Rattus norvegicus: one gene and its partners. The protein of the gene in region 3 interacts with the protein of the main gene of each other region in a pairwise test. Links are inferred from orthologs where the notes say so. Each region holds a gene or a part of one and is shown on either strand. Other genes may lie near its edges. The genes, in order: Sh3gl3, Rbfox1 and Atxn2.

Region 1 (9,942 bases), on a different chromosome or scaffold from region 3:
TACAGACAAAAGATCCTGTTTAACTGTCTTGACCCTGATATCTAAGAGGAAAGGCAGCACTGATTTATGGCTGGAGCCAAAAACACAATGTTGAGATTCATCAGAGGACATGCTGTATTTAAACGTGGGCAAGCCTCCTTGAAAGAGTACAAGTCTAGATAGAAAACAGGAGCCGTAGCACGGGCCCAGTACAGTGCTGTGCCGTCAAGGGATGAAAAGCCATTGACAGAGACTGGAGGGAGCCACTGGCCGATTAAACTCAGAGGAACTCTGGCAGGTGCTGTTCTCAGACAACTCGTCAAATGCTGTCCAGAGTTCCAGTGTGGAAGTGGCTATCAGACCGAAGGACACTTAAGACCAAAACATGCATGGCTTCAAAGCACAGGAGAAAGCTCAGTTGGAATGGGCTGAAAAGAAAATGTGTGACAGAAACCAAGAGAGAGTGAATACCTGCTGATAAGAGAGTGAGGCAAAGAGTGGAGGGAGAGGCTCGGCCAAAGGAGGATTTTGTCTTTTTTGAGATAGGAGAACTCATATCTCCATGCTGATTAAAATGACTCGAGAACAAAGAAATATGCTGAAGAGGAATGCAGCCACAGGACCAAAGCCCCTGCAGTGATGAAAATGACAGGTTTTGGAGGCACTGTGGCGCAACTAGCCACCTGTATTTTGTTCCTTATTACACCAAGAGAAGCAGAGGAAAAAAAAAACAAAAAACCCCACCCACACATGAGCAAACAGGACCTCTGGTCTACTGAAGTGTGGCCTAGAGCAGAGCCATGAATGCAAGTCACAGAGCCTGAGACAGCCCCAGCTCTGCTACCAAAGGGCAGAGAGCAACCCGGGAAAGCAACAAGAATCATCACTAAAAAGCAGGAGCTCCCAGGAAAATGCAAGATGGCGCACGCCTACAACCTCGACACTGTGGTAGTGAGGGTAGAAGTTCAAGGTCACCCTCACCTATATAAAGAACTAGGGATCACACTCGAACTGTCTGGAAAAGGAAAGAGAACCAGGAGCTGAGTGAAAGACACCACCATGGGTGATGAGCTGGGCCTATGAGAGGCTGCTTCAGAGAGGCACTGGGAACGCAGGCATCTAAGCAGCTCCATGATGAACCCCTCCCGGCCCAACATGGCACTTCCTGGGTGTCAGAAACGCAGAGGTGGAAAGAATCTAACTGGCCACACTCTGCTGAGTTCCAACATCCACATCCATTTTACCTGCCACTGAGCTGACTAGAGAAGCATTGTGTCCATCTACTTACCAACAACTTCAGTTTCTGGGTCACCGTGTCCCTACACGGCACACAACCCTCCACATACTTCCTGTGGGAAATACAATTGTATTCAAAGTACTTAATAAAGCTAAAATGTCATCTAGTCAGGGAGTAACTCTCATTTCCAGTGTGCTTTAAAGTTAAATCCCAAAGGACACCCTGAGTTATAGTTTTATTTTCTAGAAGAAAATGTAAAAACTGTTTGCCTTATATTGGATCTTTCAGTTATTTAAAAAAAAAAAACTCCTAATCAATTTGGTTTGGACATCTATTCTAGGACCCTGGCTTTTAAACCAAAGTGTTCAGATTTATGGATTCATTTGTCAAGCAGTCTGTGGGAAAAGACAGCAAGAATGTTTTCTCTTCGATATTTTTTTCCAATGCATCTAAGAGAAAAAAATAAATCATTATGGATTTCGCAAAGTGCATTTTTATCTTTTCTCTAATGAGAAAGTGAAACAAAAGACATTCATTGTCTCCCTAGAGAAGCTAATCACTTACCAGGGCCATCTTCCTCTGAAGCAATGTCCTTAAATGGCCAGCCTCACAGGCAGTGTCTGCAGAGCATATGTCAGAGCCCCTGAAGCCTTTTTGAACTTGATGCATTAAAGGAGAGAGAATGCGTTACTAAAACGCTAACTTAAGGGCTTCCTCATCTCCTACTATGTTGTCAGGTCAGTCCTGTTGCATAGAAGCCACAAAGACGTAAATTCATCATGGAGCCTACATGACTCGGGAGAGGAAGAGAGGAGAAATGACATTGGTCCCTGGACTTTCTCGGGAACATGACCCAAGCCCCTAGGAGGTCAGAAGGTCCTGGAATGAAAAGAACGTGTCTATTAGTAGAGCATGCAGGCCTGAGCACCACCAGTGACTGTGTTAAGAGAAAGTACTAGGAAATAAAGCACAGCCAGTGAGACTCAGTGAAGGGCCACATGGGCACACCACCAGAGCGCATCTTTACTGCTCATGTGTTGTACTCAGCAAGAAGGCACAGTGGCAGCCCTGACCTCTGCATCTCCTTCCACCAACTCCACTCACATCCCTGAGGAAGAACAACTGGTTCTATTTTAAACTTCGGTAAAGAGTTTTAAAAGTGTTGGATGACAAACTCAAGAAACCTGGCACAATGAGGCATCATCTCCAGAGCTGACAGCTCATCTTCTGGGAAGCAAAGGGCTCTGTTCCTCAATGACAGAGAAGGATTAGGAAAGGAGGGGGCAGTCAGCCAGGACATCCCATCATTTTACCCTTCCATGCTCCAGACTCCCTGACTTGTAAAAGGTCCCTATTGTCTTTGTCTTTCTCTGAAACGTTTTAAGTAAATTATTTAAGAATTTCAGAACTGAGATACACATACACACACACACACACACACACAGAGTCTAGATGGATGCATGGATGGTCTCTCTCTTGTGTGCGTGTGTGTGCACACACGTGCAGGTATGTGTCTGTGAGTGTGTGTATGCATGTGTGGGTACATGTATGCACGTATGCATGTGTCTGCATATGTGTGTGAGTGTGTGCAACACTTAAAACTCACATACTATGCAGCTTATTTAAAGTGTACAATCAAGGGACTGGAGAAATGGTTCTATGATTAAAAGCTCTCAGCTCTTCCAGTGCAGTGGACACAGTAAGTACAGTGCTCAGTTCACAATACTCAGACTGAGTGGTTCACAACCACCTAGAACCCTAGTAGCTCCAAGGGATCCAACGCTCCCTTCTGGCCTCCTCAGGCACCCACACACTACATAGTACACACACACACACACACACACACACACACACCTTTTAAAAGTTAAAAGCATGCAATCCAATGTTTCTTTTAGTATATTCAGAATTTTGCAGACACTGCCCAATCACGTTTATCACAGGAACCTGACCTCTGAATCCTCTCATTCATCATACAGAGAGAAAGCCAAGGAGGCCCAGTTGGGTTAAGTCACGTTTCCAAGGTCGCAGAACTGATCATGGCAAGGAGCCAGCCTTGAATCCCTTGGAATTATTAACCACTGATGTCATTCGGGACTCCCTTTCCCTGCCCCAGGAAAGCTCCAAGTGAATTAAAGCCCGCTGTGGAAATGCTGTTTGAGAACATCTGGCATTTTTTATTACTCTGCTCCCTTGTATTAAATTAAACAAAACCTAATTTCTCCAAGCTGGTTGCACTGCATAATTTCTAAGAAAGACTTCTAGAAGTCTGAGAGCAGGGATGCGGCTCAGATAGGAGAGCACTTGCCTAGCATGCATGAAGCCCTGGGTTCAGTCCTCAGCTGCGAAACTATGCTGAGTGCTTCCTCCTGTCTCCCCGGCCCTGGAGAGGTAGAAGTGGGGTCTCAGAAGCTTATGATCATGCTTGGTCTGAGGCTAGACTGGGCTCTATAAGATCTAGATGCGGGGAAGAGAAGAACAGGAAGTATGGAAATATCTAGAACAGGTTTGAAACTTATCTGTCAGGTACTTTAACCACACAGTAATAAGTCCAGAGAGAGTCTGCATGCCTCTCTTTTCAAAAGAAGTACAAATGATGTCAGAGATAGGAAGGAAAGGTTTAGAGCCTAGGTAGAAACACACCTGCCCCCAAGGACAGTGATGGTCCCTGGAAGGTCTCATGTTATTTTGAACTGATTGGTTAGAAGGAATCAAACTAAGCCTCCTGTCACAGTAGACTTCCTCAACTCCAATAACATCCAAGGATTTCAATCACCCACTCTGCAACACGGTCACAAGCCATCCTGAAGTGCCTAGGGCTCAGTCTGGGTGATCACAAGACCGTTCCTATAAAGTTCATATCCAAGAAGCGGGGTGCATGTGCGTGTGCGTGTGTGTGTGCACGTGCGTGTGTGTGTGTGTGTGCGTGTATATGTGTGTGTGCGTGTAAAACAAAGGGCCCTATTTCCTGCCAGGGCTAAGGAAGACAATGTCACAGCATGGCCAGCAGTTATTCAAGCATGGCATAGCTCACAGAGGCTCTGGGACTCCTAGCTGCTCCAGCATTACCAAAGAAGTAGAAGCTGCCAGCTTACCCACCCTCTGTATGACTCGACTCCTCCCCGCCCCTCTCATGATCTTGTGATAGCAGTCATTCCTTCTGAACCTCACTATTGTTCATTTATTACACATACATTTATGGAGTACTCACTGCCCAGCAAGCACTGGGCTAAGCACTGTCCAAGTGTGGCCAGTGCCTGTGGTGAGAGTGGCGTCCCCTAGAGTTTCTCTTTAAATACTACTGTGTGTGACTCCACTAGCCTCTCTCCCATTTTAAAACGTCCATTTTAATTGGAATTTCCCCAAAATCACTACTTGCAGACTCCAGAGTAGGATATGCCAATAGCCCAAAAGCAAATGACAACTGAAATATCCCACTGGCGTTTTTAAGTACTAGAGATCCAAGAGCGAATCCAGCATCTCTACTCTCACCCAGCATGCCCCTCCTCCAGGATTTCTATCACCCTGAATAGCATCACTGTCTGCCCTATGTCTCCTGCTGGGAACAGCCATCACTTAGTTTCCTTGTGGACCAATTGTGACTGGGGGACTAGCAGTGTCTTTCCGCCTGGAATAGAGAAAAATAATTTCCTAAGGCCAGCTGCAATCTCAAGATCGATATGAGGGAAGAGCAGGAATGGGGAATGGCCACCGATGTGAACTCCATATACGATTGGCCCACCTGGGTTCTAGCTAAACTGAGGCTGGGAAGGAAATGAAGACAGGGCAAAAAATTCCGCAGGTGCCAGTGAACAGATTTTTACAACATGGGCTCTACCACTGCTGTTAGAGTAGTGTTAGAAAGCAAGTTTGCTTGTGATACACACACACACACACACACACACACACACACACACACTTTCCTGTGTCCCTGTTTCCAGCTTTTTCTACTCAGAAAGCCCTCCTCTTATAACAGTCTATAGCCACAATCCTTTCTGGAGCTTAATCCCCAAATGCCATGTCTTCACCTCCTGGAAGCTTCCCGTTAAGCTCCCAGAGTCACCTGCCACTCTCTTCCGCGGAGGTGTGTCTAGCACGGTTTGTTTACGTGTGTTTTTTGGGTCTCCTCATCACACTCTCTTTGAGAGCAGGAACCTGGTGCCAACCTCCAGCCAACCCAGTGAAGACGGCCAGCAAGGGAAGGACCACAGCGATGAGTCCCAACCTCGGGAAAGACTACCCAGCCCCAGCCAGGGGGCAAGTTCAGCGTCCGGAGGAATGGGGGTGGGGGAGGTTTCCCAACGGACAGACTGGAGATTCGGGTAGGAGGGAGGCCTACCACGGTCTTGGTCCCGAAGGATCTCCTCTCGGAGCTCATCCCCCAAGCCCACCACCTCCGATCCCTTGCCAGCCGAACCGGTCAGATTTACAACCGCCAGGGCGCAGCGGGAGACCCGAGACTCAGGGGAGGAGGCACCAACACGCGCAGCCCAGAGCGCGCGACCGCTACCCGCCCCCGCGCCTTCATAGGCGACCAGAAACCCAGACCGAAAGAGGACTGTGGAGACCCCGAGTCTATGGCCCGCAACCCCTTGGAGACGCCGCCTCCAGAAACCCCTCAAGCGCGCCTCCCTACCTGGCTGGCTTTGTGGAACTGCTTCTTGAGCCCAGCCACCGACATCGCGGCGGCGCCCCGCCCGGGGGTGGTCTCGGGGCTCCGCCGGGCCACGCGGCCGCGACGCTGAGCGGAGCGGGCACCCCGGGCGGTCGCCGCGCGCTCCACGGCCACGGCCACCGCCACGGCGCTGTCACACTGGCACACGCGCGCGCGCAGATAGCAACACGGTGTTTCGAGGCCCCAACGCAGCTCATTGGTCGAGCCGCGGCAGCATGCAAATGAAGCTGCTGGGACCGCCCACGCTTCATTGTTGCGTGGCGACCAGGATCTCTTGAGCCAGGAAGAGGACCAGTGGAAAGGCTGGCCCTGGGTTGTCCAGCCTCTCAGGACTTCTTTTGTAGGGCTTGGGATGCAGCTGGCTCTGCAATTGTTCTGGGCGAGAGGTCTCTCTGCTCTTCAGGGTCTTGGTGGGAAACCTGCTTTTACTCACTGGTAGCAAGATCTCCCCTCTCCAAACCCCGGCCCTGCTAGTTTAGATGTGTGTTGTGAGGAAGGAACGCTGGGATGTGCATCTCAAGTAGAGAAACATCACAGGAACCACAGGAACCCGGAACTATAGTTAGACGTGAGAAACCTGCTTGTGGACAGTTAGGTATGTACTTTAGGCACAGTCTGCCTGAGTGGTTTGGACCCCCCTGGGAGAGTTACCTGGTAGTTTACTTAATAAATTCAGTACTAGTCTCATAGGTGTGCTGAGCCTCTTATCGGCTACACCAAGAACCAGTCCATTATAGGTGCCAGAAAGAGGGTCTTCCATTCCACTACTTACCAGAGTATTGTTCAGACTGGTCTTCGGGAGAGTCCTGTACACCGGACCCTTTCCACAGGGTCTAGAGCTCCTACTGAACAGTATGTCTACCCAGTCACAGAAACGGACCTTGCATCAATTCTTGTGCCACCAACAAGTCTACTTTCCCTGAATCTGACCTTTCAAAGGCCCTGTGGCTCCCAATGCCTTCAATCCACTTCAGCGATGCTTCACACCAACACAAACACCATCCAACTTTCAGTCTCTACCTAAAAGGAATGGCATTCTGTGGACGCTTCCCAACGTCGGGTCAGGGGTCATCAACACTACTGTTGTCCTCAACGCTCGCAGTTCACACCTGTATCCGGGCTTCTCTTTGGCTCTAGCATTTCTCCAGAACCATTAGCTCCTGGCTCCCAGCCCTGCCTGACCCTTCATAGCTTCACCCTAATGTGACAGGGTGAGGACTCGCAGGTCTCTGTGCCTAGGTTTGCTCACAATGGCTGGGAAAGTGTGGTGTCAACAGTGTCCTGCCTGTGATATAAGAGAAGATGTGGACACCTTAACAAGCATCATGGGACAAGGTTATTGAATGTGACTCAACACTCTTGGTCCTAGCTAGCCAAGGGCTTGCTGACATCAGACAGAGGTAGATGATGTGATGATGGTGGATGACCACTGGGTCAGAATAGTACAGCAAAATGACCAGTCACCACTGCTGTCCCATCCACACTAAACAGGTTTTGGTGAAGATGGTCTCCCTTGTCCTGAACTAATCTATGTTTCGCTGCTGACCTCCTCTGTACCCGATAGAAGTTTAAACAGCACGGGCTAAACCTGTGCCCCCTAGGAGTCAGGTTCTTTTCAAAGCTGGTGATTGGCAATTTTTTTTTTCATGGCTGATAGTTTTATTAGGTTTGTGCAGGTTTCATTTGGCTTGTTCTGATTTGAGGGGGAAATCACAATTTGAAGGGAACTTTCCGTCCTAGGGAACAGGGCAGATTCCATTGGGGGCCATGGGAGCATAGGGACCACGAGACAGCAGGTCACACTGCATCGACAGTCAGGAAGCAGGGAGAGGTTCACACTGCCACCCAACTATTATCTCCTTTATCTCTTCCTGTACAGTCTTGGGCGCCAGCCATGAGATCATGGCAGCCATTCAGGGAGGTTTTTCCCTCCTGCCAAACCTCTCTGAAAACTCCCTTATGGGTACATCCAGAATGTGTCTCCTAGTTGACTCCAAATCCTGTCAGGTTGACGATGAGAATTCACCATTACGATAGCATATTTGCGTTTCCTTATGTGGTCATTTGTGATAATCTCTCTTCTTGGTTTATTCAAATGCGAACATGTAGATTGTTCCTTCCCATTTTTAAACTCAGGGATCCTTCCATTATAGACGCATTTACATGGTTTACTCATTTTTATTCTTGTTACTTTATAATAAGCAGATATTGAACTAACAATGGCTTGGGTTTTGTGCTTTGTCTTTATAAACAACATGGATGTTTTACTTGTTCTATAAAAATAATTTTTGGCCATTCGTTTGGTTTCTTTTTGGTCCAAATGTTATTCAAAAAAATTTCAAACTACTTTTGAGTTATTAAGAGCTTTTAAGTCAAGGTATGTTAGACTTTTGCTACTGTGATCAAATAGCATCTTGAAGATTTTTACACTTTACATATGTATGGCAGAGGTTTGAAATTGTGTGATTCAAGCTAGGAGTAGTGGCTCATACCTTTAATCCCAACACTCAGGAGGCAGAGGTAGGCAGATATCCGCAGGTTCAAAGCCAACCTAGTCTACAGATTGAGTTCTAGGGCAGCCATAATGAGACCCTGTGTTGTAGGAAGGTGGAGGAAGAAGAGGAGGAAGAGGGGGAAGAGGAAGGAAGGGGCTTAAGCTACCTTGGCCATGTCAAGGCTCTCCCTTAACAAAATCATCACCCATCAGCCACCCACATGCCTATGGTTCCTCCATTCAGAGAAGAGGTACATACATGCCTTTGACTATTAAACTGAATCTGCAAGAGGTGAAATATCGTTCTGATGGAGTCAGAAGAGTCTTGAGATACAGACAAGCACTCCTATGAACTGGAAGATGTTTGGGCACTTACTAGGGTTATGGCACCTCGTTGAGATAACCCATACTATGTTGTATGCCTCAGTGTTTCCTTAGGCATCTTTCCCATGTTCCTTGACTCCTCCCTGGTGCACAGAATACTGTGTTAGTTGCATCCACATTTCTGTATGTTGTCTGTGCACCAGCTTTGGAATCTGTGGGTACTGACAGCTCTTGTGTTTGGTCATGTGGACTCACATCTATCTAATGTCAGGGTGATGACCTCAAAGGATCCTGGGTAGATGAGATGGAGAGGGAAGAAAGCATCCTAACTAATGTTGTGAAATACTAACCAAGTCTTAATCTACCTTGCTAGGCCTGCCTTGCAAGTTAGCTTAAACCACATTGGTCATCTCAAGGGTTGCCCTTTACAACATCATTACCCCTCATCTACCTAAGGATGGATAGCTTCTGTTCAGCAGCCATATGCAAATACCCTTGACTACTGAAGAGAGTAATGGGGAATAAATATGATCAAAGTACATTTTACACATCTATGAAATATTACAATGAAACCTATTATTTCATAAAATTAATAGCCACTAATAAAAATAATGCATCAATTCAGATCTATGTAGCATATATAAAAGGTTGGAATATAAATATTGAAATAAAAAGAACTGCTAACAGGATGATATTGTTCTTTTATTTGGATAAAAGGAGCAAACATTCTCATGTTTGATTGACGACATGACAGTCTAAAACTGGAAGAATGCAATTGCTTTGAAGCATTTAAAGCAAAACTCTCAGATATAAGAAACAATAGACAGAAGCACATCTTTAGCAAAGCAATGGAGAACAAAATATCTTCTAGGCATTGATGAGCCAAGTATAAAAACATTGAGGTACAGAACATTTCAATATGCCCTGTTTAAGAGTCAAGGGCATTTGCTTCCTTTTGTTCTAGAGCTTTCAGGTGTACTACTAAGTTGCTAGTACAGGATATCTCCAATTTCTTTATGAAAGTACATAGTGCAATGTATTTTCCTCTTAACCCTGCTTACATTGTATCCCATAAGTGCCATCATTTTCACTGAATTCTAAAAAGTCTTTAATTTCTTTCTTTATTTCTTCCCTGACTGAGTTATCATTGACTAGAGTTGTTCAGTTTCCATGAGTATATAGGCTTTCTGTTGTTTTTGTTGTTCTTGAAGTCAAGCCTTAATCCACAATGACCTA
Region 2 (9,942 bases), on a different chromosome or scaffold from region 3:
GAGACTCCTAAGACTGTTTGTTCCCTACTCTTTCTCTAAGACAGAATCTTTTCTTGTAGTGCATAAAATCTTAGCAGGATTGCTTAGTGATCTGTTCATTTGTTTGGTAGGCAGACAGATATTCACAGCCTAGGAGGCCATTGCAGATGGATCCCACCTTCCTGTTGCTCAGGTAACTCTATAAATGGAAGCCCTCCTAGGGATTTAAATTACCATGTGAAAAGCTGGAGCTATATAGAATTCCTTGAGGCCTGCTAAAGAAAAGTTACTTCCTTAAAGCCACACAGAATCTAAGTTTCCACCTCTGGGTGGAGACCTGGGGACCAAAGCCTTATGTTCTATCTTCATTCTGTTTTTACAACTCAAGCCAAGTGGGCCTGTAGGTCATCTGACCAGGAGCCCACCCCACCAACCGAAAGTGGACTTAAGAAGAATCAGACTGATTATCCTTAAATAAGTCAATGTGCTGATCCCTCCCAGATTGTATCAGCTGCTCAGAAAAGAGTAACTTTCTTTCCACCGTTTCTTGAACAATCCACCAAAGCCTAAGCAAGCTTTCCCTGACATTCTGGGCTTCTTCATGGATTCTCTGAAGGCCGGCACTGGCTCCCCTCCTGTCCACCCCACCTTCCCATCAGGCAGCTGATTGCTGTCCCCTTTTCTCAACATACCAACTTCCAAGGACCTCAACTCAAAAGATGGGGTTTTCTCTTTCCCTCTGCATTTCTTTCCAGCCAGCAGCTGCTCAGATTCACAACTTAACCTATCCTGTTGTTTTTCTTTCAAACCCTGGTAAACACTGTCCTGGAGATTCCTTCTGAGTCCCCTTTTAAATTCTTTTATTAATAAGACTAAGAACTCCAGAAGGAAAGCGTGTTTATATGGTACCATCCTTTCTTTAAAGGGTGTGTTGGTTGTTTTTCTGTACTACCAGGTAAGCAATACTGTGTGTCAGCATGCACAGGGATGGGCTTCAAGCATCTTCAGTCAAGTATGTGATGTACTGTGATGATATCTATCCACTCACTCTCCCCTCCCTTCCACTCTTGTTAGAGCCAATCCCTTTCGTGGTGGCTTCATTACCACTTCTATGCCCTATGCCTGTGTGTACATTTATGTGTTTAACGTCAAACCCTGGAACAAATGGCTGAGGTGCCTACTTAATATATCAAAGCAAACCTGGCCGCTAGGTTCTCCCAGGATCCCACAGTCCCTTCCTTACCTGTTACAAGGTATGGCTGGCATACTCTGTCCTCTACCCCAAACTCTCCAGCCCAGGGGCTGGGTTGCCCCTCCTCCTGAGGCTCTTCCCTATATAATCCAGCCATTTTGGATACTCACCCTTTTTATAACCTTTGCCCTCTTGGCTGCTACACCTGGTCCCCCTCCCCCTCCACACCTCCCCTAACTCTCTGGCTCAGGGCCATGTCCACGCTGGACTCTCCCAGATGTCTTTGCCTCTGTTTATTCTCTGCCTTTTATCTATAGGAGACTTTCTCCTTCACTACATCTAGGAACAGACATGTCCTTCCTTTTTATTTCCTTTTTTAATTCAGTATGCATATGTCACTATATGCATACATATACATACATATACATATAATCTAGGATGCGCAAAGGAGAGAAGGCATCTCTGTCTTTCTGATTCTGCTGTATCTTGTTTAATCTGATAATCTCCAGTTCTATCCATTTTCCTGCAAATGATATCATTTCAGAAGCCATCATTTTTGAGGCGTACAGGGACCTCAAAAGAGTCACTGTGTTTAGGAGTGAGGCTGCTTCAGTCATATGTCCAGGCAGATATGTACATCAGGGCTATAGATCTATGCTTGCTCCACAAAGCCGAGAAACACTGTATTCAAAGGCTAAGCAAACACACAAATGAATTATGAAGTCCCTGTTCTGATTTTATCATTTGTCATTGTATGAGCACGGTCCATGGCTTAAGTAAACCCTGTTGTTAGCATCTGGATTCAAGAGTGACTTTGCCAACGACCTTGACCTCTTATAATAACAGTAGCTCAGTCAACTCAGTGGTAAACCAAGATGGCACTTGGAATTCAAGACAAAAGAGAGGTCCCAAGGAAATTACTTGGGTCTTTCACCCTAAGACACCAAGACTGGGCTCATGGTCTGGCTGCACTGTGTGCTCAATAGCATCATTTTGTTCCCTGCTTCCTTTTGAGTTGTTAGTACCTGTGAAACAATGCAACCTGGTTTAGCCTCAATCTCTACAGCCATTGTGTGATTATCTATGTAGTTAGAGGAAAACAAAACAAGCAATCATACTTATTTATCTGCATACTGGATAAGTTTCGACATAAGATAATGGGTGAATGGGATACAATATGGTAGACACTGGCTTTCCTGAGTAATGGAAACCTACCAATGGAAATCTCATGTTAACTATGGGACTGACTTTAAAGAAGAGTCCATGAGAGGGACCTAACTAAATGTGCATCTGTAAGCACTGACTGCAGCATGAGTCTGGTGCTCTCTTAAAACTTAAAGATGCAAATTATTTTTTCTTTAACTGCACAAAAAATGAGCCATGCCGGCCCACATTTCAAAAGTGTCTCAGATATCAATTCAAAACAGAATATCTTTGGCCACAGAACTGTTGACTGTTGTGTTTGGGAAGACTGTAAAATTGTGAACAGTACCTCAAGCAGCTTGCCAGAGGCCCCTGCACATAACCACTGATGCTGTTCCCAAATATACAAGCACAAGGGGTCGTAGCAAGGACGAGTCCACACTCCCGGTAGTTTAGTTGTCTTGCTGACATTACTAAGTTTCTAAAGAAATTTGAATCCTGGCAGAAGGGTCTTTATTCTTGACTTGGGTGAAACTCCCTAAGGCTAAGTGCCAAGGTAGCTAGGGCAGGAAGTGGAAGGTGAAAGGAGAGCTAGGCTTTCCTACCCCTTTCTATCACACCACATCCTTTTCTTATGAACAGAACTGCAATGGGAGGTGTTGTAGTTTCTTCGAGTCAAGTGGTGTGGCCTCCACAAACAGCAAGACGGCTAGCACCTCCATGTGCACAGCCTTGCAGTGGAGTGGGTCCCAGTAGCTCATCAGAGGCTCCTCACTGACACACTCAGAAGAGCTTGTAGGTCACTAGTTCAGAAGTTTTCATTTGGGAAACAAATGAGAATGGATCAGGTTAACATTTGCAAGTAAAATAACTTGTTCCATTCCAAACTAACCAGTTATGTTTCTCGAACATTCTGCCAAAGAGGAAGAAATAGTGCCTTCCCAGCTTCTCTGTTGGCTCTGGCGTCTTCTCATCTATCATTGGGGTAATACGTTCAGAGTGGCATTTTGTAATGACAGAAACATCCCAGCAAATCGATAGTTATTTAATTCCCAACAAGCTCTCGAGTCCATTAAACCTGATTACATTCACCCATTTCGGTGGGTACCGTTATTCTCCTGCACCAGCACTTAATCTATAACAGGAACTTATGAGAACTTTCAAAAGCAATTTCAGCATCAATCAGCATGGAGTGAAATGAGCGATTTGCTTGTAATTATTTATCGGATAGGGCAGCACAGGGGCCGACAAAACTCCAGCCTTTGACCTTCACCCCAAATTTCCAACAGAAGCAAAAAGCACTGTAACTCTGCTTCACCCTCACGTCCCAAGTCTCATGTCACCATCTGGCCACAAATTCTTTTCCTTGTTGTCAGGACTATTCTCTGCCTGGCCTATTTACCTATAATATAGAAGTGTAGCAATAGCATACATCCAGGGTCAATGGCAGTTCTGGTGTTGTCTGGACTAACTGCTGGATAGATTCCACCACCCAGCTTCTGACAGTTAATAAAAAGTCACAGTCACAGTCACAGTCACAGTCACAGTCACAGTCACAGTCACAGTCACAGTCACAGAACAAGAAGAATATTTGTTTGGGATCCTCCGCAGAAGTCGTCATTAATGAATTGGTCTTGTAGAACTCTCAAACAGAGAGTGTTGGGTAGGGGTAGTACGACAGGACAGAAGCTAAAGTGTCCTGCATATATTTAATTTTCCTTTCCCACAGAAAGGAGATTTAGAATTTATTACCCAGGGCTGGTTATTTCCAAAGAACAGCAACAAATAGCCACTTGCTTCCTACAATGACCCACTTCTATCACAAGTGGATGTCGGCTTTCCAGAGAACTGCAGGCATACACCCAGAAGCAACGGGTTTGAGTGACAGCACGGCGGTACAATAAGGCAAAGAAACAGGTCCCAATTTCTCGCTAGCACATGAACCTCTCGGCACACAGAATAATAGCCTTAGCAGTCAAAACAACAGGCATTCCAACTTCTCCCTGGCTGCCGAGAACAGTTGGCATGGGGTTTCCAGAGTCACCCCTGAACTTCCTAAAGAAACCATTCTCAATGTTCTCTCTTGTTTGTGGGTCACCTCTCAGATTCAGAAGGGGGAGCCTCTCTGCAAACAGACAACCTGTGTGGGGTGTCCTCCGTAGCACTGTAGTTCCTGCCCTTCGGTTTCCGGGGTTAAAGCCTTTAAGCAAGCCACAACATGATAAGTTACTGAGCCTCATGATCTGCTCTGGGAGACCCAGTCCCTCAGAAAGCTGGGGAAGAGAGCAAATCTTTTGCCCCCTGGTCAACCTCCCGAAGCAGAGGCATGAATGTTAAACAGCACCCAGATCAATACAAGCAAATACAGCTCAACTACACCATTTATTCATCCATGAGAGATGTCAATAGCCAGATTAAGGTGATCCATCTTTTTGATTTCCTACTGTCTTTCCTTTGACTACACGAGGGCTGCCTTTTTTCTCTTCCTGTATTAAAAGTGTTTGCTTTCTCAACCATAAAAATTCCAATTATTACTCAGAGCACTCTGGAGTTAAGTTGCTTGCTGGCAAAAGCCATGAATTACCTGCATCAGTCCCGGGAAGAAGGGGGCAGCAGGCACAACCATAGGCACGCCATAAGAATGCAGAAGGACTCCTTGCGACGCCAACATGCTTTAAATGGAGGCTTTATTCCCTCCAAGGCTGAACACATCAATAGAGAGTTAGAGGGGGAAAGAAATCTATAGACCCAACTTCTTCTCAACTACAAAGCCGAGAGCCAAATCGCTTCTGTCAGGAGCCAAGTGCTCATCCACAGGCGGCGGAGAGGGGAAAGGAAAGAAAATCCTGCATCAGCAACTCTTAATGTGAAAGTTTTCTTCACAGACAAGGAAGGGACGCGGCAGCTGCAGGGTCGGAGCTACCAAAATGGAAGGAGCTATTTTGGGAGCAGCTCGCCCAACATGACTAACCAAATACTCTTCATTAATTTAGTTCTCAGACCGAGGGAGATGGAGTGACAGGGAATCAGGGAAAAAGAAAAGACATTTGTCCTGAGGAACTGGGCCAAATTGCAAGGGGCTGGGTCTACATGAGATTTTTAGAGAGAATAATGAATAGAAATGTGTAAGCTTACAGGACAATCAATTTCAACTTAGAAAACTTAAATCTTTACCTATATAAACCATCACCGGAGCCTAAGTTTAAGTTCTAAATTGCAACTGATTGTTATGTAAACTTATGGACTATCATATATGTATGAGGACCCAAGTTTGGATCTCCAATGCCCGTGTATGAAGTCAAGCAATGTGGCATACACGTGTATTCCCAGCACTGGGAAGACGGAGACAGGAGGATCCTGGGTCTCACCTGTGAGCCAGCATAGCCGAACAGAAAGTTCCACATTCAGTGGTTCAGTGAAAGACCCTCTCTTTACGTAAGTAAAAAGCAATAAAGGAAGATACCTGGAGATCACCCTTCGACATTGCACATACATTTTCATTCTTATACTCATCCCCCCACAGTTATGTACAAAAACCAAACCAAACAAAGAAACAAGAACAACAACAAGAAAAATGACAGCAAAAAACCCACTCAAAGGTAGCAGGTTCATGTGGGCAGCTGATCAAAAATTACCTAAGAATAATCAGTATGTGGTAGCAAATCTCAGTGGTCCTGGAACTCAGAGGTGGGTATAGGAAAATCGGGAGCTCAGCTGTATAGCAAGTTTTAGGCGAGCTTGGGCTACACGAAACTGTCTCAAAATATTTGACTCACTTTCCTCCCCTTTTTTCACTCGATTTCAGTTTGAAGAGGCAATTCATAGCTAAAAGGAAATAATAGCAGAAGTCTGAGTAAATTAGTTTTGTGGGTTATTGCACTCAGTCCTTCCACATCTCTGAAGCAGGGGCTAATCCCGGACCCAGGAAGCCAAGTAACCATGAGGAACCCGAACGCACGCTAGTCAGCCACTTTGCAGCCAGTAGGAGGCAGTGCTGAATTTAAAATACCTCATACACAATCCCTAGTTGTCTTGCTGGATTGCACTGTGACTTGTGATCTAGAAATGTGTTAGCTATCTTGGGGGCCACAGAGTAGGTGCAGACTTGCTGGTGCTGTGTTCATGTGTGAAGGGATTTCACATGGCTTTTACATGTGTGTCCCAGCTGTGATACATGAATCTGCTATATATTAAACAAAGATGAATTCCCTCCCACCACCCTCGCTTTCAGAGATGAAAGGTGTTGAGGAGTATGCAAAGTGAAAGCTGGGGTGTCCCTTTCCTAGCTCTACCGTCTCGAGCAACTTCATTTGCCTCGTAGACTCCAGATCTATTTGGGCATGTAACAATGTCAGAATATCTCGTCACCTCCTTGCAGTGTGCAATAGAGGGAGTTAATCACCACCGGTTCTGCTCTTCCCCTCACAGTTGGTATTCACCCATCTTTGACTTCAGATGTGAGGGCTCAGATGATGATCAACTGGCATGTTCCCACTTTTCATACCAGGAAATATGTGGGCATAACTAGCAATCTGGAACTCTCATGAAGTAAGGGCTGAAGACAATTGAAGATGGCCTTCATAGGGCCTGGCAGATAGCTCAATTGGTAAAATACTGAGGAAGCTCGAAGGCCTGGCTTCAGACACCCAAGACCTCTGTGATAAGCATGGTAGGACCATCCTACAATGCTAGCACTCATTATGCATAGATCAGAGGATCCCTGGGGCTCATAGCCAACTAGTCTTGAATCTGTGACATTTGTATGCAATGAGACACAGTCTCAAAAAACATAAAGAAAGGAATGTAAGAAGTTACCAGACATTGACTTCTGGACACACACACACACACACACACACACACACAATGTCACCTTCAAATCAGACACCCCCTTGCCACAAACCACTTTTCTCTCTCAACAGGATGCACAATATAGATTTTGTCAAAATGATGATGAGCGAGAACTTCAGACACCACCACACCATACCCAACTATTGGCTTTCCCTAAGCCCAATGTCAATTCGTCCACTTTCAGATAGCCAAGGTGTTTTTACACTACACTAATTTTAGTTGCTTGATTTAGCTACATAATTACATTTCTAGATAACGACAGCAGACAGGGTTTGGCAGAGAATTCAATTATTTAAGGCTGGAGGTTTGGCCATCTTGACAAGGTTTCTCTGTAATTGATTCACATGCATCGGAGTGGCCATGTTGTGCAATCCCGAAAGCTCCTGGAACAGCTGCACACTGACCCATCTCATAAGACTGCCCAATACCGGTTCTAACTTTAGCTTCTCACCATGACTTTCAAAACCAGATTTCTGAGAAGTTAGCAGCAAGGACAGACACATTACCCGAAACAGGTATGTTTTCTAGTTGACTTCCCGTTGACAACCAAGACACAGAGGCACTCCTCAGTGCTGAGGGAAGGTCCCAGGCACACTGAATTACAGCTCAATGGTATTATAAAGTGCAAAAGCTGTGGTGGCAGAAAGCAGGACGCACAACTTATTCATTTAGAGCATAAACTGACGTATGTACATCTTGAGTACACAGATGTAGAAGAGTGTGAGGGCAAAGTTCTGCAGGTGCTTTGGCAACTTGGGAATTGTATAAATGTGACAGACAGACCAGCAAAATTGGGACCGGAGAGATGGCTCAGCAATTCAGGGTACTTGTTCTTACAGAAGACCCAGAGCATGACCCTAGCACCCACACAGTGACTCACAATGATCCCCAATTCCAATCCTTTTGATCTTTATGAGCACCAAAAATTCACATGGTACACATACATGCAGGCAAACCCTACACAGAAAATAAAATAAAAATAAATTAATACACAAATACAGCATATTATCACATGGATCACTCATGTATAGCCACAGTTTTATTGAGGAACCTGCTAGTTCGATTTCAGTTGACATGGGAATGTGTCACATAAGGGGCAGAGTGACAGAGCTATTGATGACACATATGGTGTTTTCTTCTTTCTTTTTGAGGAAACTGTGCTATAAAATATTTGCCGTCTCTGCCACTATCTTCTTTCACCTCTCAAAGGCAACTCTTTTCACTTTTCCTGCCAGGAAAGTTAGCGTCCAATGGGATGCTGAAAATCAGGATGGGATATTCTCCACCTGGCAGCCTTTATGGGCCGCAGCTGCCTATCCCAACAACTGCCAGTCCTGACCACAGTGACCGCCATTGTCTCTGGTTCTGACTTTCCACTTACACATTATTCTGGTATGGTTGCAATCCCTACAGTATTCTAAGCCAATAACAAAAAATCGTGACCGAACTACCGCTATTAAGTGAATTATATGAAGCCTCATTTTTTTTTCTAACAACTGCTTAATTTTCCCAAAGTACATCTTACATTAATACGTTATGATTTTTTTTTCTTGGTTCACTAACTAGAAGGTATGCTACATTTTGTGTAGCTTCACATTCTCCAGAGCTTGGCGTAGACACTTGGTGAGGTTATGTATCCAACACTCAATATTAAGCTCATGATAAAATTTACAAACTTATAATCAGAAAAAGACAGTGAGATAATAAAATACAGAAAACGAGATGGTGCAGATAGTGGCTGAAAGCACAGCCAACGGCCCCACATGCCTTGTGTTCAAAATGAAGGGCCACATTGTGTGGACTGTCCTGGGTCTCCCTAGATATTAAGTAAGTGTAAGTATATATGTGACAAATATCTTTGGTGAATACCCTATTCTCTGAGTTGCAAGCATTAAATATCTGGCTATTGGAGCACACAAAACCACCCAGGGACAAGTGCAAATGAATGATTGTGGTCTGGTTTCATACGACTTTGTTAAGAGGCATTAAAACTTATATATCCTTGGGTTTTCCTGGAGCATGGAATATTTTTCTCCCTTAAATGCTTTCAACCCCTTAAAAGTGTAAAATGGGCCAGGCATGGTGGTGCCCACCTGTAATTGCAGAAATCTGGAAGCTGATGTGGGAGGATTATAATTTCAAGGCCAGTGAGAAAAGGGGAGCGGAGTGGGGGGGGGAGAAAGAATGAGAGTACCTAAGAAAGAAAGAAAGAAAGAAGAAATAAAAGAAGGAAGAAAGGAAGGAAGGAAGGAAAGAAACAAACAAACAGGAAGGAAGGAAAAGGAAGGGAGGAAAAGGAAAAAAGAAGGAAAGAGAAGGAAGGAAGGAAGAAAGGAAGGCAGGCAGGCAGGCAGGCAGGCAAAGCAAAGTTTCAGCAAGAGATCAGGGCATTCATGTCCTAAGGATTGTGGTGAACAGTAGCTATGTCCCAAGAGACTAAATCCAGCCCAGAGAAAGGATGAGGATGAAATCTGGACACTGTAAAAGAGCTCATATTTGAAATTGGAGTATATGGGTAAATGTAGGTGTATGGTGGTTCTCGAGAGTCTAGGGGACTTAGGGGTTCATTTCATTGTCTGAGGCATGACTCAGTCCTTGGAAGAATCGTTTCTTTCCTAAGGGAAGCTGTGTCTACATGAACCTTTCCAGTACCTCTTGCCAGTTTCCCTCAAAGAAGCTGAGGCTCAGGCACCATGGGTTAACCACCCAAAACAAGCCCTACAAAAGCCAGTTCTCCAGCTTTGCTGCTGAACAAGTTTGACCATATCCTGGGTAACTGC
Region 3 (9,880 bases):
CAAAAATGTCTTTCTTTTGTATTAGCAGACTTTAGCAGTTTATTGCTAATGACCTAAATATTAATTTTTGCTAACTTCAGATTGGCATAATCAAACGACTATCAATACCCCTTCAGAAGATGACAAAATGAGCCAGTTTTAACCTTATGAATTGCAACTAAGATTTAAGGGTGAAGGATCTGACCTGTTACCTCTTCAAGGAGACTCATCTAATCCACTTAAACTTGCATCCATCCCCTTCCTCAAACTCTCTATGCCCTTAATCTGCTTCCTCTAATCCCAGTCCACAGGTGTGTTGCTTATTTGCTGCCTGCCTCTCAGTTAAGGCAAAATAGGTGTGGCGGTCCACACGTGCAATCCCAGAAAGGCAGGGCTGACATGGGACAGTCCAGGCCACACAGGGCCACCCGTCAAGGCTCAAAAGAGGAATGTGAACTCCAGGAGAGCAATTAGCTTTGTTTTAGACATGAGTACACCCAATAACTTAACACTGCCTTACAGACAGATACTCAACAATTTATGCTGTGCGGTGCTGTAAGCACTTGAGGGGATGTGAACTTACAGAGATGTCTGACATTTACATGGAAGCACGATGGACAATTCTAAGATGCGTGCCTTAAGAGAATGAAGCCAAAAAAACCCGAAAAACAAAGCCGAAAGATTAAAGAACGTTCTCGCTCTCTTTCAAAATGAAATTTATTTTTAATTTTATGTATACTGCTGCCGTGCCTGCATGTGTGAGAGAGAGTGTCAGAGCTCCTGGAACAGGAGTTACAGACAGTTGCAAGCTGTCATGTAGGTGCTGGGATCTGAACCCCGGCCAGTACTCTTAACCACTAAACCATCTCTCTGGACCCTGTAAATATAATTTTAAAGTAAAGTGTTTAAAATGAGAAGTGTAGGGATGGTGGTATACCTGAATTCCCAAAAGTGCTTGTGAGGCTGAAGCAAGGCCAGCCTAGGCTACATTTAAAAAAAGATGTGGGGCCTGCCATGGTGCCTGAGGCAGAGGCAAGAAGATGTACACTGCCTGTTCAAGGAGTCCCAGGCAAGCTGGGCAGTAGAGGCCTCTAATCCTAGCACTCAGGAGGCAGAAGCAGGCGTATCTCTTGGAGGCCAGCCTGGTCTACAAAGCAAGTTCCAGGACAGCCAGGGCTATTACAAGGAGAAACCCTGTCTCAAACAGCAACAACAAAGAAACCCAAAACTAAACCAGGCTTGATAGTGCCTGTCTTTAATCCCAGCACTCAGCAGGCAGAGACAGATAGATCTCTGTGAGTTAAGAGACCAGCCTGGATTACACAGTGACAACCAGGACTGTGAGAAATGTGTAAGATATCCTCTCTGAAAGAGAATACAAAAACAACAACAAAGGCTACAAGTCAGACTTGAGAGCTGACTCCTTCATTAAGAGTGCTTACCCATGGGGTTGGGGATTTAGCTCAGTGGTAGAGCACTTGCTTAGAAAGCGCAAGGCCCTGGGTTCGGTCCCCAGCTCCGGAAAAAAAAGAACCAAAAAAAAAAAAAAAAAATGCTTACCCAGCTCCCAAAAAACCCAGGTCAGTTCACAGTACCCACACAGCAGCTCACAACTGCCTCTCTCCAATTCTAGGGGATTCAGTGCCCTTGTCTGGTTTCCTCAGGACTCCTGCACACATGTGATACACAAGCACACAAGGTCACACATACACACATAAATCTTAAAAAGTACTTTTAAAAAGATGTCTAGGGCTGGGGATTTAGCTCAGTGGTAGAGCGCTTACCTAGGAAGCACAAGGCCCTGGGTTCGGTCCCCAGCTCCGAAAAAAAGAACCAAAAAAAAAAAAAAAAAAAAAAAAAAAAGATGTCTAACCTATAAGCCAGGAGTGGCACATGCCTTGAAGCCCAAGGCTACAAATAGTGAGAGTTTTGTCTCAAAACAAAGAAAGCAAACAAGGGCTGGAGAGATGGCTCAGTGGTTAAGAGCATCGACTGCTCTTCCAGAGGTCCTGAGTTCAACTCCCAGCAACCACATGGTGGTTCAAAACCATCTGTAATGGGATCTGATGCCCTCTTCTGGTGTGTCTGAAGACAGTGACAGTGTACCCATATACATAAAATAAATCTTAAAAGAAAGCAAAGCGGATGCTGTCCATCACACCACTAAACCCTCTCTATGAAGTAACCCATGATTCACCAAATAGGATGCAGCTACATTGGTACAATGTGTGCCCAGCATGCAGATAAGCCTGAATGACCACCCCAGCACTGCATAAATGAGGTGCACACCTACAATTCCAACAGCCGGGTGGGGGGCTAGGGAGTCAGACCAAAAGTTCAAGGTCATTTTCCCCTGCTATTCAAAAACAAAGCTGAACTCAAAAAAATAAATACATGGTTGGTTGTGGCCAGGTGGCTCAGCGGTTAAGAGCACTGTCTGCCCTTGCAGAGGACCTTGTGTTCAGTTCCCAGCATCCCTTGACCACCCTAACTACAGTTCTAGGGCATCTGACCTCCTCTCTGACTTCCATAGGCACCAGACAGACAAGAGGTATGCACAACAAATTGGTTTTTTTCCAAGACAAGGTTTCTCTGTGTAGCCCTGGCTGTTCTGTACAACAGGCTACCTGTCTTTGCTTCCCCAATGTTAGAATGTTAGGTGTACATCACCTCCAAACTGTAAATGTGTATAGCCCAAGCTGGCCTGTAACTCATGATCCTCCTCCTGCCTCAACCTCCTTCAGCTAATCCTACCACACACTTCACCACCAGCTAACTTGTTTTCCCCAAAAGTGATCATAAACTAACAGCTAATAACACAAAATGTCTAACAGTTTTTTTGAACAGCCTGAAAGTTTTAGAACAGTTCCTTCAGAAATCCTGGATCTGCACTGGCAGTGTACACTACAGGCTCCAAAGCGTCTTCACATACAGTCTGAGTAAAAGCTCAAGTAAAGGGCTGGAGAGGTGGATCAGTGGTTAAGAGCACTGACTGCTCTTCTAGAGGTCCTGAGTTCAAATCCCAGCAACCACATGGTGGCTCACGACCATCTGTAATGAGATCTGATGCCCTCTTCAGGTGTCTGAAGACAGCTACAGTGTACTTATAATAAATAAATAAATAAATAAATAAATAAATAAATAAATAAATCTTTAAAAAAAAAAAAAAGCTCAAGTAAAACTCAAATACAAGGGCTGAAGTGGTTAAGAGCACTTATAAGTCTCCTCCTTACAGAGACCAGGCTGACCTCGAGCCCCAAAGATCCACTTGCCCATCTCTAGTGCTGGGATGAAAGGCGTATGGCACCAGGCCTGGCATTTGTTCCCCTTGCAGAGGAACCTGGCCCTGTATGGTGGCCTCACAACTCTCCCTGACTCAATCCCAGGGATCCAGAGACCACTTCTGGCCTCTGTGGGCACCAGGCACTTTTAATATGCACACATAACACTCATATACAGAAAAACAATCTGAAAATCCAAAAAGAAATAAGAGGGACAGGATGAATGCCTCAGGGGTGAAGAACACTGGCTACTCTTGCAGAGGACCCAGGGATTCCAGCAGCCACACAGTGTTCACAGATGTCTGTAACTCTAGTTCTAGGGAATGCAGGGCCCTCTTCTGGCCTCTGTGGACACTAGACGTGCATACAGTATATTTACCATGCAAACGGGCAAAGCACTTACATATATAAAATAAATCTAAAGACAGCCATGACCAGGAAACACAGGAAAGCCATGTCTGTGAGGGACCCTGATGTTACACGCAACACTCCCCCACAGCATCCAACAAGTACATAGAGCCCACCCCTGAAGAGCTGCCTTCTTGGCTCCAGAACCCACTGAGCCTTCTGAGAAATAACATGGCACAGCTTATGAGAGCCATAAAACCTTAGAGTCCTTGACCTACTGAAACCACTCCTGGGCACCACTTTCTCTAGGGAAAAATTAGGATGAAGCAAAAAGCTTCTAGTGAAGAAGTTCACCTCACCACCACTACAAAACACAAACACAAAGAGCAAAGCCCCAGCCGTTGGGTAGAAACTTAGCTCAGTGCATAAGTTATTTAAAAAAGAAAGTCACCAGATTAAAGGGGAAGAAGGCTGCATCACACATGAGCACGACGTCACGAAAGGTCAAAGTCAAGAGTAAGTAGATTCGGGTGCAACTGTGGTAAGATTTTTAAAAAGTGATCACATACGGTTCTTTTCTAAGAAAGTGGCCTCTAAGTGATGATGGGAAAAAACTGTTCTCAAAAATCACACAAAATTCTGTTCACACAAAAATCAAGTCAGATCCAGGCTGGCTGAGTAGCAAAATCCTTTTCGAGCAAAAACAAGGCCTGGGTTGGGGTTCCAGGTTGGGGAGGGTCCAGAAAGGAAACAGTGCTTAAGGCGGCAGTAAAGTGCATTTTGCTAATTCAAACATGACAACATCAACGCCACTTTTCAAGTGTATTTATTGTGGAGGAGGGGACATGCCCTGGCAGGTGTGGAGGTCAGAGGACAACTTGCAGCAGGAGTCAGTTGCTTCCTGCTGTGGCAGCAGAGGTGTGGGAATCCTGGTTGACAAGCCTGGCCGCAAGGGCCACTGAGCCACCCCACCACCCGATGCTACATAGCCCTTCCACAGCCATGCTGCCAGCCCTACTTTAAAATGACACACACAAACCCAAGCAAAACTCTACAAGTTACAATGCATTTACAACCCTGAGGAGAGTAAGAACAGGAGGATGGCGTTAACCAAGGTTCTGTACAGAACAAAAGTACCCATTCTGAGCACAGGCATTGGACGAAGGAAACTTAAAAAGAAACCTATGCGCCAAGTAAGAGAACTTAAAGCAGGGAAGGCTCTAAATGCCCTTCCCTTTTGCAGAGCCTCAAAAGCAGAGACTGACAGGGGTCCTAATACCCTGCCCCTCCCTGTGGAGTCCAGCCAGCCACAGTCTAATGTTTAAGCCTACAGAGTAAGCGAGGCTCAGGAACTTTAATCTGTATTTGAACAAAACGTAAATGCGTGCCACTTCCTGAGAACCAAAGATTAAAACATGAAAAAAGCAAAGAAAAACATGTATCCTTAAAGTTAAATTTAAATATTTTTTCGTTTTTCACTAAAAGTCAAGGACGGAAAAGAAACTCAAGTTACAAACCCTAACTTCGCAGAACCGTGGAAATAGAATGATGGTTTAATTTGAACGAGGCGGGTTAAGAAGGGTTTGAAAGGCCTCATGCTTGGGAAAATTGGGAGTGTGGGGGAATAAAGTAAAACACATACTGTTCCCAGAAGAACTCCTTAAAACCCGGCTCTGATTCACCCTGCGGGTTAACTTCTGCTGTACAGGAACTCTCTGGAAATGGACAGCTGGACAATGGGGCTAAGAAAACTCCAAACAAGAAAACTCCCCTTGCCCACCTCCTAAGTCCTGGATGTCTATTTAAGGAGGCCCTGCCAGCCAGGCCTAGGCCAGAGGGAGGCACAGTAGTGCCTGTTACACAGGGACACAGGGGAAATGGACTTGCATGCCCTTGGTAAGCTCTGGCGGCGGCGTTTCCCAAGTTAAGGACACCGGCCACAATGGAATGGAGTCTATTGGCATTTGCCTCTCCGTTTTAACACTAAGCATTTTCTTAGTTCGTGAAATACGAACTGACAAGCACCCCCACCCCTCCCCACCCCCGCGCGCACACACCCTCCAGAGTCAAGCCCAGTCACACAGGACAGCACCCAGCCTCCTCCAGCTCCTACCAACGAAATCGGGCCCAGGGAAGGGGAAAGGGGGCCGAGGGCGCAAGCCAACACTCGCGTCGTTGCCTTCGGGACCCGCACCAACTCCTCTGTGGAGGCTCCTCACCCCTAAAAATTTCAGGAACTGGGACAGGGGTTGGGAGGGAAAATGAGCTGCGTGTCCGGTGCCCGCCGCCAACCCACCTCTCGAGTCCGGCCCTCGCCCACCTCTATTCAAAGGCGCCTTCTGCTCCGCGGACGAGAAACAGCAATGCGGATCGGCCACCACCCGCGCGCAGGGGACCTTGCGGGGAAGGAGGGAGGCGGGCCTGGAGGGAGCAGGGCACTCCCACCCCTTCCCCAGCTGGGGGAGGACAGCCCGCTGCGGGAACCCCGCCGCCCCAGATCTAAAGGGGGATGGGTGCGCAAGGCCGCTGGCCACCCACCTCGCCTCGGTCGCCCACCTTCCCAGGGTCTGCGAGGCGGGAATATGCAGGACACCCGGCTGACCCTACCTGGGGCGGCTGGGCCTCAATCTCCCCTCCTCCCTCCCGACTCCCCACCCAGCAGTGAGGCTCATTTCAGGAGAGGGTCCCCCTGCGACCTGCACCCTGGCTCAGCCGCTCTTCCATCACAGGCAGGGGACCCAGCAAGGGGGTGGGGCGGGGAGACCAATCGCCCCTAGCACACACGCGAGGGGCAGGGGGCCGCCCGGGCCGTCCATCTTGGCCGTCTGGGGGGAGGGGACGCGATGGTGCGGGAGGCTGGACACGGCCTGAGAAGCCCGAAGGATCTGCCGGCGCCTCCCGCCCCTCCGCGGGCCCCCGGCCCATCGCTACGCCGGCCGGTCACGGGGCGAGGCGGGGGAGGGGACGAGCGGCGCGGGATCGGCCAGGCGGGCGCGGAGGGGGCTGGGGAGCCGACACCCACCTGCCCAGGCCGGGACGCCCGCCGCCCGCGACCGCCGAGGAAGACGCCACCGGCGCGGCAGGGGCCGGCACCACGGAAGACGAGGTCGACGCGGCCGAGGCCGGCGCGGCGCCGGGCGACGAGAGCAGGCCGCCGCCGGGCTTGCGGCCACTGGCGGGCGCGGGCGGCTGCGGCTGCGGCTTCAGCGACATGGTGAGCGGCCCATACACCGGCTCGCACGCCGGGCGGGGACAGCCGGGAGCCGGGCGCGCTGAGGAGACGCCGGAGCGCGGCGGGGACGCGCGGACGCCGAGCGGGCAGGCGCGGGCTGGCGCGGTCGCGGGTGCCAGAGGCAGCAGGACGACGACGAAGGGGCGGGGAGGCCCGCAGACACCGAACAGCCGCCGGGAGCCGGGCCGGGACGCGCCGTTGCCGTTGCTACCAAAACAGTCTGAGGCGCAGGGCGGCGAGCGCGGCCCGCGGGGAGGGGCGCCGGGGCCGCGCGGGGGAGGGCCGGCGGAGGGATATGCTACCGCGCCGCCCCGCCCGCCGCGCCGCGCCGTCCGCGGGAGCGAGCGCCGCGCGGCCCAGCCCGACAGGCGGCGCGGCTCGGGGCCTGCCGCGGGCCGCTGAGCGGCGTCTGTCGACGGACGCATGGGAGCCGGGCTCGCGGACGCGTACGGGGCGACGCGGCCTGGAGGGCGCGGAGATGCGAAACAGAGCGGGGGGGACTCTTTACCGGAAGTCGGAAGGGTCAGGCGGAAGTCGAACGTGAGACGGCTCGGGGGCCGATCGGGGACACGTGAGGAGCGGGCGCAGCGCTGGGCCGCGTTCGCTCTCCGGGGTCGGGGTAGGGCCGTGGGGGATCCGCCCTCGCTGAGGCGGGTCTGCCCTTCGAGGAGGGAATGCTTGTCTTCGGCCGCTGGCCCTGCTTCGCGGACGGGCACCGTGGGCTGCCCGGGTGTCCTCAGCCCCCTTCGGGGACCTTGGTTTCCCCCCCACCAGATGCAACATAGAGGATGGCCCGCGGGCGCCTTCGGGGCGGAGACCTGCATTCGGGCCTGGCACACAGTAGGCCCCCAGGTGCCACTGCGTGCTTGGTTTCCCTGCCAGCGTGGGAAGCTTGCCACCACTGAAGCCACCGCCAGCTGCTTCACTTTGCCCCACTTTATTCACCCCAGCGAACTGTTGGGTATCTGACCTTCATTTGAACCCTTTTTTCCCCTCACTGGAACGTCTTACTCCTCCTTCAGGCGACTCCAAAGGGAAATGGACGTGATTGGTAGAGCTGGGTAATGGGGGTCTTACCGTGGATAATGGGGTCTCCCTCATTGGAGACCTCGCAAAAATGTCAACTTTAGACCTTGACCCCTTTTAAAAAGTTTTACTTTAACTCGGGAAGGCCACCAAACTAGCCCTTTTTTTTTTTTTAAGGTGTTGTAATTAAATTGGAAGCAAATGGGTAACTTTTTGCAATGAGTTTAGTTGGTTTTTTGGGTTTTTTTTCTTTTTGTTTTTTTAAGTGAAATTGCTTAAGGGGATGATGGGCAGAGGACAGCAAAATCCGAGTCAATCTATTAAAATCATTCCCGGGAATTAAAGGCAGGCATGGTGTTCATGCCTTTAATGTATGAATTTAGGAAATGGAGGCAGGATTAGCCGGTCAAGGTCATCCTCACCTACACAAGGGAATTCTCTAGGCCAGGCTAACCTACAAGAGACCCAGGATAGGGGTTAGGGATTTAGCTCAGTGGTAGAGCGCTGGCCTAGCAAGCGCAAGGCCCTGGGTTCGGTCCCCAGCTCCGAAAAAAAAGAAAAGAAAAAAATAGAGACCCAGGACAATTAAATGAGCAGTGAACCCTGGTTACGGCACATGGCTTTAATCCCAACACTGGACAGATACTGGATCTCTGAGTTCCAGACTTGCTGGGTCTACATAGATTAAAAAGTAGCTAGCAGACAGCTCAGAAGGTAAAGGCCCAAGCCGCGGAAGAAGCTCACCTTCTAACTCTTATCCCTGGAGATCACATGTGGAAGAAGAAAACTTGACTCCTTGGAATTGTCCCCAGATCTCCTCTCTTGGACTGTGCCAGTTGTGTGCCCACACATATATAAGCAATAAGTATGACCTTGGTGGTGGTGGTTTTCATTCTTGTTCTTGTTTGGTTTTTCGAGACAGTGTTTCTCTGTGTAGCCCTGCTGTTCTGGAACTCACATAAGAGCCACCGGCCTGCTGGGATCAAAGACCTGCTCCACTGTGACCAGCCAAAAATATGACTTTTAAAAAAAGAAAAATGTATCTGGGGTGTCAGTTTTAGAAAGGGAGCCTAAGGCGTAGTGGTGGCTCTCCAGCTCTACACCCCTGGTCCATCCATGAATAATTAAAAAGAAAAACTCAGCGTATTAGAGTCACTAGTATAGTCCAGTTGAAATTAAATTAACCTCATAGCCCAAATAAAAATTGTCACATTTGGGGCTGGAGAGATGGCTCAGCGGTTAAGAGCACCCAACTGCTCTTCCAGAGGTCCTGAGTTCAATTCCCAGCAACCACATGGTGGCTCACAACCATCTGTAAAGAGATCCAATGCCCTCTTCTGGTGTATCTGAAGACTGCTACAGTGTACTTATATATAATAAAATGAATAAATCTTTAAAAAAAAATTGTCACATTTGGCGAACACTTTAAAAAAGGTTGGGCTGGAGAGATGGCTCAGCGGTTAAGAGCACTGACTGCTCTTCCAGAGGTCCTGAGTTCAATTCCCAGCAACCACATGGTGTCTCACAACCATCTGCAACACAATCTGATTCCCTCTTCTGGTGTGTCTGAACAGAGTGACAGGGTACTCACTTATATAAAAAATAAATAAATAAGGGGTTGGGGATTTGGCTCAGTGGTAGAGCGCTTGCCTAGGAAGCGCAAGGCCCTGGGTTCGGTCCCCAGCCCCCCAAAAAAGACAAACAAACAAATAAATAAATAAATAAATAAATAAATAAAATCTTTAAAAAATAATTGTTATTGTTATTTCCTAAGAACATCGAGAGAGGGAAAGTTAGTCTTCCTAAATGTAGTGGGCCTTTATAAAGTTAGCCTGAAGAAACCTGACATGAATGCAAACCTTGAGGGGTTGGGGATTTAGCTTAGTGGGAGAGCACTTGCCTAGCAAGCCAAGGCCCTGGATCCAGGCCTCAGCTCTAGAAGAAAAAAAAAAAAAATTACATCTTTAAATGAATGCAAGCCTTGAATCCCAACCCTTCGGAGGTAGAGGTGGGA

Evidence for each region.
Region 1: the proteins of Atxn2 (region 3) and Sh3gl3 interact in binary tests that used the Homo sapiens proteins (3 or more experiments, as listed by UniProt). The link is inferred for Rattus norvegicus from reciprocal best matches to the Homo sapiens genes ATXN2 and SH3GL3.
Region 2: the proteins of Atxn2 (region 3) and Rbfox1 interact in binary tests that used the Homo sapiens proteins (3 or more experiments, as listed by UniProt). The link is inferred for Rattus norvegicus from reciprocal best matches to the Homo sapiens genes ATXN2 and RBFOX1.

The regions. Positions count from the first base shown.
Region 1 is NC_086019.1:145,530,841-145,540,782, reverse strand, and holds the start of Sh3gl3 (endophilin-A3), read right to left. Parts: upstream 6,029-9,942; 5' UTR 5,895-6,028; coding exon 5,850-5,894; intron 5,772-5,849; exon of another isoform or gene 5,592-5,771; coding exon of another isoform or gene 5,553-5,591; intron 1,876-5,552; exon of another isoform or gene 1,790-1,875; coding exon of another isoform or gene 1,781-1,789; intron 1-1,780. UniProt on the Homo sapiens protein: Implicated in endocytosis. May recruit other proteins to membranes with high curvature.
Region 2 is NC_086028.1:8,994,178-9,004,119, forward strand, and holds the start of Rbfox1 (RNA binding protein fox-1 homolog 1), read right to left. Parts: upstream 5,215-9,942; 5' UTR 4,986-5,214; coding exon 4,899-4,985; intron 1-4,898. UniProt on the Homo sapiens protein: RNA-binding protein that regulates alternative splicing events by binding to 5'-UGCAUGU-3' elements. Regulates alternative splicing of tissue-specific exons and of differentially spliced exons during erythropoiesis.
Region 3 is NC_086030.1:40,502,611-40,512,490, forward strand, and holds the start of Atxn2 (ataxin-2), read right to left. Parts: upstream 6,822-9,880; coding exon 6,631-6,821; intron 6,594-6,630; exon of another isoform or gene 5,929-6,593; intron 1-5,928. UniProt on the Homo sapiens protein: Involved in EGFR trafficking, acting as negative regulator of endocytic EGFR internalization at the plasma membrane.